3 linked regions of the Saccharomyces cerevisiae S288C genome follow. The gene in region 3 interacts genetically with the main gene of each other region. Each region holds a gene or a part of one and is shown on either strand. Other genes may lie near its edges. The genes, in order: CAT5, BUD27 and RIT1.

What was found.
Region 1: mutations in RIT1 (region 3) and CAT5 together harm fitness more than expected from each alone (negative genetic interaction), as found in Saccharomyces cerevisiae (3 studies listed by BioGRID).
Region 2: mutations in RIT1 (region 3) and BUD27 together harm fitness more than expected from each alone (negative genetic interaction), as found in Saccharomyces cerevisiae (2 studies listed by BioGRID).

The regions. Positions count from the first base shown.
Region 1 is NC_001147.6:558,370-561,256, reverse strand, and holds CAT5 (putative monooxygenase CAT5), read left to right. Parts: upstream 1-1,525; coding exon 1,526-2,227; downstream 2,228-2,887. Other genes in the region: GTPase-activating protein RGA1, read right to left, coding at 1-87; IAH1 (isoamyl acetate-hydrolyzing esterase), read left to right, coding at 580-1,296; ubiquitin-specific protease UBP2, read left to right, coding at 2,615-2,887. UniProt on the Saccharomyces cerevisiae protein: Catalyzes the hydroxylation of 2-hexaprenyl-3-methyl-6-methoxy-1,4-benzoquinol (DMQH2) during ubiquinone biosynthesis.
Region 2 is NC_001138.5:89,000-92,759, reverse strand, and holds the start of BUD27 (prefoldin-like protein), read right to left. Parts: upstream 1,775-3,760; coding exon 1-1,774. Other genes in the region: EPL1 (Epl1p), read left to right, coding at 2,415-3,760. UniProt on the Saccharomyces cerevisiae protein: Involved in gene expression controlled by TOR kinase and nutrient signaling. May also be involved in positioning the proximal bud pole signal.
Region 3 is NC_001145.3:834,921-838,680, forward strand, and holds RIT1 (tRNA A64-2'-O-ribosylphosphate transferase), read right to left. Parts: upstream 1,948-3,760; coding exon 406-1,947; downstream 1-405. Other genes in the region: AEP2 (Aep2p), read right to left, coding at 1-178; ATP-dependent DNA helicase YKU70, read left to right, coding at 3,267-3,760. UniProt on the Saccharomyces cerevisiae protein: tRNA backbone modifying enzyme that mediates initiator/ elongator tRNA discrimination. This enzyme modifies exclusively the initiator tRNA in position 64 using 5'-phosphoribosyl-1'-pyrophosphate as the modification donor.

The sequences.
Region 1 (2,887 bases), on a different chromosome or scaffold from region 3:
ACCCAACTCATATGCATGCCCCGTGGTAATAAATTCTTTGCATCGTACGCAGGATGGAAATTGTTCATTGGGAGCAGTTGATGCCATTTTAATATGCCGCTCTCTCCACCACTAGTACCTGAATCAGCTATCCTTGTCTTGTACAAAAAGCTATAATAGAGATAAATGTCAAAACCGTGGTGCTTTTCAGTTTCTTAAAAATTTTAGTGATACCGATCAATTTTTTTTTCTATTTTAAGCAACTGTGAATTGATCAAGAATGTTGACTGATCAAAACTCAAAACACCCTATTTGGCAAAGAAATTTAGTCTGTTTGAGCAGTCCTACCCTTGGAAAACGTTCAATGAATTAGCCAGTTGGCTGATACAATCTCATCAAAGGTCAATAGAGAAAAGCACACGTTAATTATATCAAATCTAAACTCGAGAACTGCCTTTTTTTTTTTTTCATTTTTCCTAATACGGCATAAAGCGCGCAATAATAAGGGCACTTTACACCTTCTCATCGTGGTAACACATACGAAACCAAGAACTAGCCTCTACATTATCATCTGTTCGTACGCTTAAACTGTGACCAAATATGGATTACGAGAAGTTTCTGTTATTTGGGGATTCCATTACTGAATTTGCTTTTAATACTAGGCCCATTGAAGATGGCAAAGATCAGTATGCTCTTGGAGCCGCATTAGTCAACGAATATACGAGAAAAATGGATATTCTTCAAAGAGGGTTCAAAGGGTACACTTCTAGATGGGCGTTGAAAATACTTCCTGAGATTTTAAAGCATGAATCCAATATTGTCATGGCCACAATATTTTTGGGTGCCAACGATGCATGCTCAGCAGGTCCCCAAAGTGTCCCCCTCCCCGAATTTATCGATAATATTCGTCAAATGGTATCTTTGATGAAGTCTTACCATATCCGTCCTATTATAATAGGACCGGGGCTAGTAGATAGAGAGAAGTGGGAAAAAGAAAAATCTGAAGAAATAGCTCTCGGATACTTCCGTACCAACGAGAACTTTGCCATTTATTCCGATGCCTTAGCAAAACTAGCCAATGAGGAAAAAGTTCCCTTCGTGGCTTTGAATAAGGCGTTTCAACAGGAAGGTGGTGATGCTTGGCAACAACTGCTAACAGATGGACTGCACTTTTCCGGAAAAGGGTACAAAATTTTTCATGACGAATTATTGAAGGTCATTGAGACATTCTACCCCCAATATCATCCCAAAAACATGCAGTACAAACTGAAAGATTGGAGAGATGTGCTAGATGATGGATCTAACATAATGTCTTGAATGCAGTAATCCTTTGTACGTACTCTGTCTATATTTCCCTAACTTTTAAGCAACTGTATAATTTTTCATATACGGGATTTTCAGGAAAAAAAACAATAGAAATCTATAAAACATGTTTCCTTATTTTTACAGACGAGAGTTTTATTCTTGTGAAAACGTCGTTATCTTCTCCTCCAAACCAATTCAAGGAATAAAGATATCACGTATACGGGAGAGATACATAGAAATTATGTTATCCCGTGTTTCAGTTTTCAAACCTGCCAGCAGAGGCTTTTCCGTCTTATCATCTTTAAAGATAACAGAACATACATCAGCAAAACACACCGAAAAACCTGAGCATGCTCCCAAGTGTCAGAATTTATCAGATGCTCAGGCTGCATTTTTGGACCGTGTTATTCGTGTAGATCAAGCTGGCGAATTAGGTGCAGACTACATCTACGCTGGCCAGTACTTCGTGTTGGCTCATAGGTACCCTCACTTGAAACCTGTGCTAAAGCACATATGGGACCAGGAGATACATCATCATAATACTTTTAACAATTTGCAATTGAAAAGGAGAGTCAGGCCTTCCTTATTAACGCCTTTGTGGAAGGCAGGAGCCTTTGCAATGGGGGCTGGTACCGCATTGATTTCTCCAGAAGCAGCTATGGCTTGTACTGAAGCTGTCGAGACAGTAATCGGAGGGCACTACAATGGCCAATTGCGAAACTTGGCCAATCAATTCAATTTAGAAAGAACAGATGGAACAAAGGGTCCAAGTGAGGAAATCAAATCCTTAACTTCTACTATCCAACAGTTCAGGGATGACGAGCTAGAGCATCTAGACACCGCTATCAAGCATGATTCGTATATGGCAGTTCCATATACAGTTATCACTGAAGGTATTAAAACGATTTGCAGAGTAGCTATATGGAGTGCCGAAAGAATTTAACCACCAGAAAGTGGCATACATCAGTCGCGTTATGCCAGAAAAGGAGAATTGAAAGGAAAACGGTTTGATAAATGTCCTAATTAAACTATCATGTATAAAATTATGTATCATCCTTACGCATTTTAACGCTATATGACCAATATGACAGGAATAGATACACTGTCTATAATTATGTAAATGGGGTATGGGTTCATAGTCTAAGGGTGAGTACAAACTGGATCTTTAACAAGAGTAACAGTTAATTAGAGCAAAACTATAGTACATATAGCTTGAAAAAAACAAGCGGCTTGCCATTGGAAGAACATTGCATAAAAACGGGGCCACTGCTAATAATAAAGTGGTAATTAAAAAGAAAGCTTTTGTTCAAGGTTAAGAAGGTATAAGGAAATGCCGAACGAAGATAATGAACTTCAAAAAGCAATTGAGAACCATCATAATCAACTACTAAACCAGGATAAAGAAAATGCTGACAGAAATGGGTCTGTTATAGAAGACCTCCCATTATACGGGACAAGTATAAACCAGCAGTCTACCCCTGGAGATGTTGACGATGGAAAACACTTACTGTATCCAGATATTGCCACCAACCTACCACTGAAGACTTCTGACAGACTTTTGGACGATATACTTTGCGATACTATTTTTCTCAATTCTACAGAC
Region 2 (3,760 bases), on a different chromosome or scaffold from region 3:
TATTACCATCGTCATCATCATCATAATCGTCATCACTTATATTTTCGAGAATTTTGGGATCAAATTTTTTTTTCATTGATTTCGATGATCTTGGTTTTTGCAGTGATTTTAGCTTTTTCTTTTTAAAAGGAGTCTCAAACTCGCTCTTGCTGTTAATTTCCGGTTCTTTTTCCACTATATCGTTGATAGTAGGTTCTTTTTCTATAATATCCCCCACAACAGGCTTCCTTTCCACTATATCGTTGACAGCAGGCTCCCTTTCCACTATATCGGTGACAGCAGGCTCTTTTTCTATAACATCCCCCACAACAGGTTCTTTTTCTATAACATCCCCCACAACAGGTTCTTTTTCTATAATATCCCCCACAACAGGCTCTTTTTCCACTACCTCGTTCTCCACTGACCTTGTCGTTTCCTGTTTGAAAGTTGATAACGTATTTTCTTTTTTAGAAGCTCTATCCTTCCGGAATCTGGACACCCTAGTTCTTCTATTCGACCTGCTTGCTTCCCCTTCAAGTCTCTCTTGATTTATCAGTTCCTCTTTATATTTTTCATGCACTTCATCGGCCTCTTGGACACCCAACATCTTAGCAAATAAATCACCATCAAACTCATCCGATGTCATTTTATTAGCGATACCTGTGCTTTCCTGGGTTTCATACATGGGCACCGCAAAGGATTGCATCTGCCTCTTGTTCTCTTCTTTCAAGTTTTCGACTTCGTGAATTTCTAGAGAAGATGCAAACCCGACTTGTTTCTTTTTCTGCTTTTTGTCTGAATTCTCAGCAAAAGAAGACTTTTTCAAAATAGGTTTTAATGATTTATTAACGTCACCTTCTTCCCTCTCATGATCTTGGGATTGCTTTTGTGCGCGTAGGCGTTGAATTTGTTGTAAAAATGAGGACTGCGCTTCAAAGCCAGGTATAATAGAATGATTTAGATACTCTTCTTCATCTTCGTCCTCGTCATCCTCTTCATAGTTATCATTGACTTTGAAATTGGAGTTTTCGAACGCATCATAATCATAATTTATTTCATCAGTTTCAATATAGCCGTCCTCCAATTCATCTTGTTGGTCCATCTGTTGGACCAAGTCGGCAAATGTATACACGTTTTCTGTATCTACTTTAGATGGCTGCACTTTTTTCTTTACTTCATCGTTCCTTTTCAATAACTTTCCTTTCAAGTTTTCTTCGAATGACTTTGATTTCTTCTCCTTTGCTAATCCTTTCTCCTTTGGACCGACTGCAGGTGTCTGTTCTTTTTTGGAATTCGATTGTGATGGTTGCTTTGTTGTAGGGGTAACGGAACTACTTATGACATTTCCCTCGTCATCTAGTTCTTCTCTAATCTCCATAGAGGGCAGAAAATCTTCGTCGTTGTTCGCTTCGTCTTCTTCAATTCCATTTCCGTCCTCCATGTGATTCAAGTTGTCTAAGGTCTTTTTAGCCTCTTCGATCTTCAGGTTAAATTGCTCAATGGCGTCCTCCATTAGTTTTAATTTATCATCAACAAACGTGATGGCCTCCTCTTTGGTCTTTTCAACGTAATACTCATAGCCTAGACTTAGATATATCTTACTCGTAGAAATTATGATATCACCAAACACCATCCCTTGGCCTTCGCCTTCTTCTTCGCCATCATCATTGTCATTGATAAATCTAACCAGTCGGCTTCTGATATCTATATAGTGCTCTCTTTGTTCCGAAAGAAAGTTTCTCTTATCTTGCAGATTTTTCAACGTACTTTCTACGCTGGCCGCTAACAAATCCATGGCTATTACAGTCTGAGGATACCTGTTTACTATAAAATTCTACAGAATATTCATACAACACTCTCTGTTAAAACCTTTAAGAGCAGCTCATCGCCTATCCTCCAAGGATAAATTTCAAAACACCCAAACATTAGGGTTACCCGTATATCGCTACTTCTTCCCATACTCGCTCACCATAGTTAGCACCCCATACCGCAGGAGTAAGCGAGAAACAAAGGGATAGAGGAAAAAAATTTTCTCCGTCGGCCGCGGGTGGCAAAAGCACGATCCGACCACAAAATTGTACTATTACATATCACATGGTATAGCATACAAGCAATACCTGTGAGAGGTTACTACACAAAAGCAAAAAAGTTTGCAAAAATCAGCCAAAACTGTGCTCGTATTCTGGTGGTCATTAGACACTCGCAATATTATTACACCACATCGCGTTCCTCTGAGCTGCTATAATAAAATAAACGCTATCTATTTTTGACTCCTCTTTTTGCCACCCTCGCCTTCCTTTTGTCCATATTCTCACATTGTACGGCAACTGCGGACTTCAGGTCAACATAAATAAAAATTGCACACGATAGGGTAACATTATAGTCACGTGCTTATAAAAACATTGTAATAACATTAGCAAATAACGATAATAACGATGCCGACACCTTCAAACGCTATAGAGATCAATGACGGTTCGCATAAATCTGGTAGAAGCACTAGGCGGTCTGGATCTAGGAGTGCGCACGATGACGGTCTAGATTCATTCTCAAAAGGCGATTCAGGTGCTGGAGCCAGTGCTGGTAGCAGTAATAGTCGATTTAGACATCGAAAAATATCTGTGAAGCAACATCTTAAGATATATCTGCCTAACGATCTGAAACACCTGGATAAAGATGAATTGCAACAGAGAGAGGTGGTTGAGATCGAAACTGGTGTAGAAAAAAATGAAGAAAAGGAGGTCCATTTGCATCGAATATTACAAATGGGTTCTGGTCATACAAAGCACAAAGACTATATTCCGACCCCGGATGCTTCTATGACTTGGAATGAATATGATAAGTTTTATACGGGCAGTTTCCAGGAGACCACCAGCTACATCAAATTTTCTGCCACTGTGGAGGATTGCTGTGGTACCAACTACAATATGGATGAAAGAGATGAGACCTTTTTAAATGAACAAGTCAACAAAGGTTCATCAGACATTTTAACTGAAGACGAATTTGAAATACTTTGTTCCAGTTTTGAACATGCTATTCACGAGCGTCAACCATTCTTGAGTATGGATCCGGAAAGTATACTTTCTTTTGAAGAATTGAAGCCCACATTAATAAAATCAGATATGGCTGATTTCAATCTAAGAAACCAGCTGAATCATGAAATAAATTCTCATAAAACACATTTTATCACACAATTCGACCCCGTATCTCAAATGAATACGAGACCTTTAATTCAGCTGATAGAGAAGTTCGGCTCTAAAATTTATGATTATTGGAGAGAAAGAAAAATTGAAGTTAACGGGTACGAAATTTTTCCGCAGCTGAAATTTGAAAGGCCGGGTGAAAAAGAAGAGATTGATCCCTACGTCTGTTTCAGAAGAAGAGAAGTGAGACATCCGCGGAAAACAAGACGTATAGATATCTTAAACAGTCAGCGTTTAAGGGCGTTGCATCAAGAATTGAAAAACGCGAAGGACTTGGCCCTGCTTGTTGCTAAACGTGAGAACGTTTCCCTAAATTGGATTAATGATGAATTAAAAATATTCGATCAAAGGGTAAAAATTAAGAATTTGAAAAGATCTTTGAACATTAGTGGAGAAGACGATGACTTGATTAACCACAAGAGAAAACGCCCCACGATTGTTACGGTCGAACAAAGGGAAGCTGAACTAAGGAAAGCTGAACTTAAGAGAGCAGCTGCTGCAGCAGCGGCAGCGAAGGCAAAGAACAATAAAAGGAATAACCAACTTGAAGACAAATCTTCTAGGCTCACCAAGCAGCAACA
Region 3 (3,760 bases):
CATTTATGACAGCCCTACCCATTACATACGTTCTTCGGGGATAGACAGAATGACATATTGTGCTATTCGGCAGTACACCAAATTCACGCAGCGATTTCACTGATACAGTGCAGAGCCTCTTCGTGTAAAACCTCAGAACACTGTAGGATGGATGTTTAACCAGTCTATTTATCCACATTAATCATAAATTTAGGTAGTGGACTGTTAACGAAGGAGAGCTTCGTTAATTTGTTCTTGATTTTACATATTCTTTTCATTAGCCAATGTCTGAAGGGCTCTTTTTCAATGAACCTTTTCTGTTCAGGATAAACGGTAACCCGCTCTTTTTCTAATAAAAACTGACGTTATTTGATATTAAAATATACAGTGACATTGCGAGTAAACATCTCAGTATTGCCTAACTCACTACATTAAAAAGCTATTGACGCTGTTCAGTGTTGCTCTTGAAGGGTTAACGTTGCGTCCTTTCAAGTGGGAAATCAATTTTGTCAAGTGTTTTCTTACAATAAGCTTACTGATGTCCGGTAACTCCGACGTAAGCATCCATTCTTCAGTATATTTGGTACAAAGGATACTTAAGATGACACCGATTGACATATCAGTACCTGTATTGCAGCATATTAGCATTGGCTTTATTTTTTCATCTCGATTTGTAAACAACGATTGAATTTCTCCATGGATTCTAGGGAATGTGGATCGTAAAGCTTTTGAACTTTTCTTGTCTCCGCTTTGCAACTTGTATATTGAAATAAACGGATCTGTCCCACTTTCTTCTTCATCGTCTGTATCTTCAGCAACAGTCACCGAATTACTGAAAATTATAACTTTACCATATTCTGACTTCAATTTCTGTTTCAAATTCTTATTGATGGTTAAGCCTGAACTCACTTTTCCTAGAGATATCTCATTCGTAATTTTATCAATGTTTCCAAAGACTTCATCCAAGCTTCCTTTATCTTGTATATAACACTGATTTCTCAGCTTTGCAGCAGCCAAATCCATGATGTAATCATGTAACTGGTCGTCTGAATAACTTGCGTCGCCTAGGTATTCTATATGGGCCCAAAACATATTTGAATCCAAACCAAAAGACCAGAGCTCGTGATCGTCGGCTGCACCCTGCACATAAGTGAAGCCGTATCTTTTATCCATACCATCTTGTGCTTGATAGCTTACCGTGCACAAAATAATGGGTATTATGTTTTGGTCTTCAGGTGTTTCCCAGGCTTCATACTCCTGTACTTCACCCGTGAAGTAATCAACAGAATGGTCTAGAAGTGAAGAACCAGGGTGAACCCATATGGGCCGCAATAACTTACCCATAAACAGTTCGTTCAATTTCTTAGAATCTATAATATTCAATTTTTGTAGTTTAGCAACTAGTTCGGGTATTTTTCGCTTAATCATGTCATATTCTGATTTGGGAACTGTCTCAGGTGGAAGATACAGTACCTTATCGATGGCAACATTTTTTTCTGTTTCCTGAAGCATTAACGTATTTAATACAGCACACCATATGGGGACAGTCTTACTCAAAGCATCTGGGATTTTTTTACCTCTTCTAGTACTATCGACAATTATAATACCTTTATTATCTCGAATGGTCTCTAACAAATGAAAGTTCAATCTTCGGGTGCTAAAGTCCCATTGGTTGACATGCCCGTCTGTGCTCTTAAAGTAACTGGTCTGTTTGAAACTTGATGGATTACAGTACCATAGCCCACATCTTTCATTGGGTATCAGTGGATAATGGGGAAATATAGGGATAACTCGATCTTGCAAAAATTTATTGTCTAAAAGAATACTCTGAAGTCGATTCCTTACGGACTTGTTTTCCTTTCTGATGTCTTTATTTATCTGAGATAGCGAAAGATAAATATTTTCATCCATCACGGATATACTAAACTGTACTCTGGATCTATATCTCTTTGATAGCCTCGATACCATCCATCAAGAGATCAAAATTTTCAAGCATGCTTTTTTTTTCCTGCATATGAACAATGAATAATGGGCCCAGTCACAGTTAAGCAGTAATAAGAACAAAGCACATAAACATACAACGCATATATGAAGAGCAATAGAGTGGTGGGATGATTTTAGAAGTTCATTTTTGATGAAGATGATAAGATTATGTAATAGCGGCTATGCTAAGCTCCCTTCGGGCATGGAAATCAACAAAAAAGTTGTAACCGTACATAATATGACGGGAAATGCAACAAGCTTTCCAAGAAGTAATGGAAGGCATAGCTAAAGGACTATCTGGCTCGGCCATAAGTTTGAAATTTGTGTATACAGGTATAGGAAACCCTTATACCTACCTAAATCGTCGAAGCTACTGATATATTGCGTATAGTCGATATGCCCAATGTAATTCATATTTCATACTCTTCTCTTGTACAGATTAAGGGCACCTGTTTTATTCTTAGAATATACTACAACCTGCCTACTAATTAACAATGATACTATTAACGGTGCAAAACCGGATGCTCAAATTTAAAGTGATTACTCAGTTATAAACACGCCTGGTGTGAAATTAACGACCATTAATAAGAATAAATATTACTGGCATATTATAATATGCGGTGGAAAAACATAAAATAAGGATTGAGAAATAGTTATCAAGTATAATGGAAGCTGAAGTGCAAGGATTGATAATGTAATAGGATAATGAAACATATAAACGGAATGAGGAATAATCGTAATTTTATTATGTAGAAATATAGATTCCATTTTGAGATTTCTATCCTCGAGGAGAACTTCTAATATATTCTGTGTACATAATATTATATAGCCTTGATCAACAATGCAATCCCAACAATTATCAAATTATTCACCCAATATTCAGTATAATCCATATTTATAGAATATATAGGATAATTATCATCCCCTCAATCAAGTTGATATTCCGTTTTGACAACAGGTCACTTCTGCAAGGTTGCTTATATTAAAATTGTGAATAAGCATGATATTAGACGGACTCATAATTGAATGGTTATCAGTTAATTGACTCTCGGTAGCCAAGTTGGTTTAAGGCGCAAGACTGTAATTTACCACTACGAAATCTTGAGATCGGGCGTTCGACTCGCCCCCGGGAGATATTTTTTTACTTTTGATTACCTTAATTTTTGAAGATTCTCAATTTCATGTATTAGGGATTGCTTTAAGGTAGCTACCAAATGACATTCTCTGTATTACTGTTCTAGTTTTCAACAGTAAAGCTATGATTTGTTAAGTGACTCTAAGCCTGATTTTAAAACGGGAATATTATGCGCTCAGTCACTAATGCATTTGGCAATAGTGGAGAACTTAACGATCAAGTGGATGAAACAGGTTATAGGAAGTTTGATATCCATGAAGGAATTTTGTTTTGCATTGAACTATCAGAGACAATGTTTAAAGAGTCCTCTGATCTAGAGTATAAATCACCATTGTTGGAAATTCTGGAATCACTAGATGAGCTAATGTCACAATTGGTCATAACAAGACCTGGGACAGCTATTGGTTGCTATTTTTATTACTGTAACAGAGAGGATGCCAAGGAAGGTATCTATGAACTTTTTCCATTAAGGGATATAAATGCTACATTTATGAAGAAATTGAACGATCTTTTAGAAGATTTATCATCGGGGAGAATAAGCCTATACGACTATTTTATGTTTCAACAAACTGGGAGTGAAAAGCAAGTGCGCTTATCTGTATTATTCACATTCATGCTTGACACTTTTTTGGAAGAGATTCCGGGTCAAAAGCAATTAAGCAA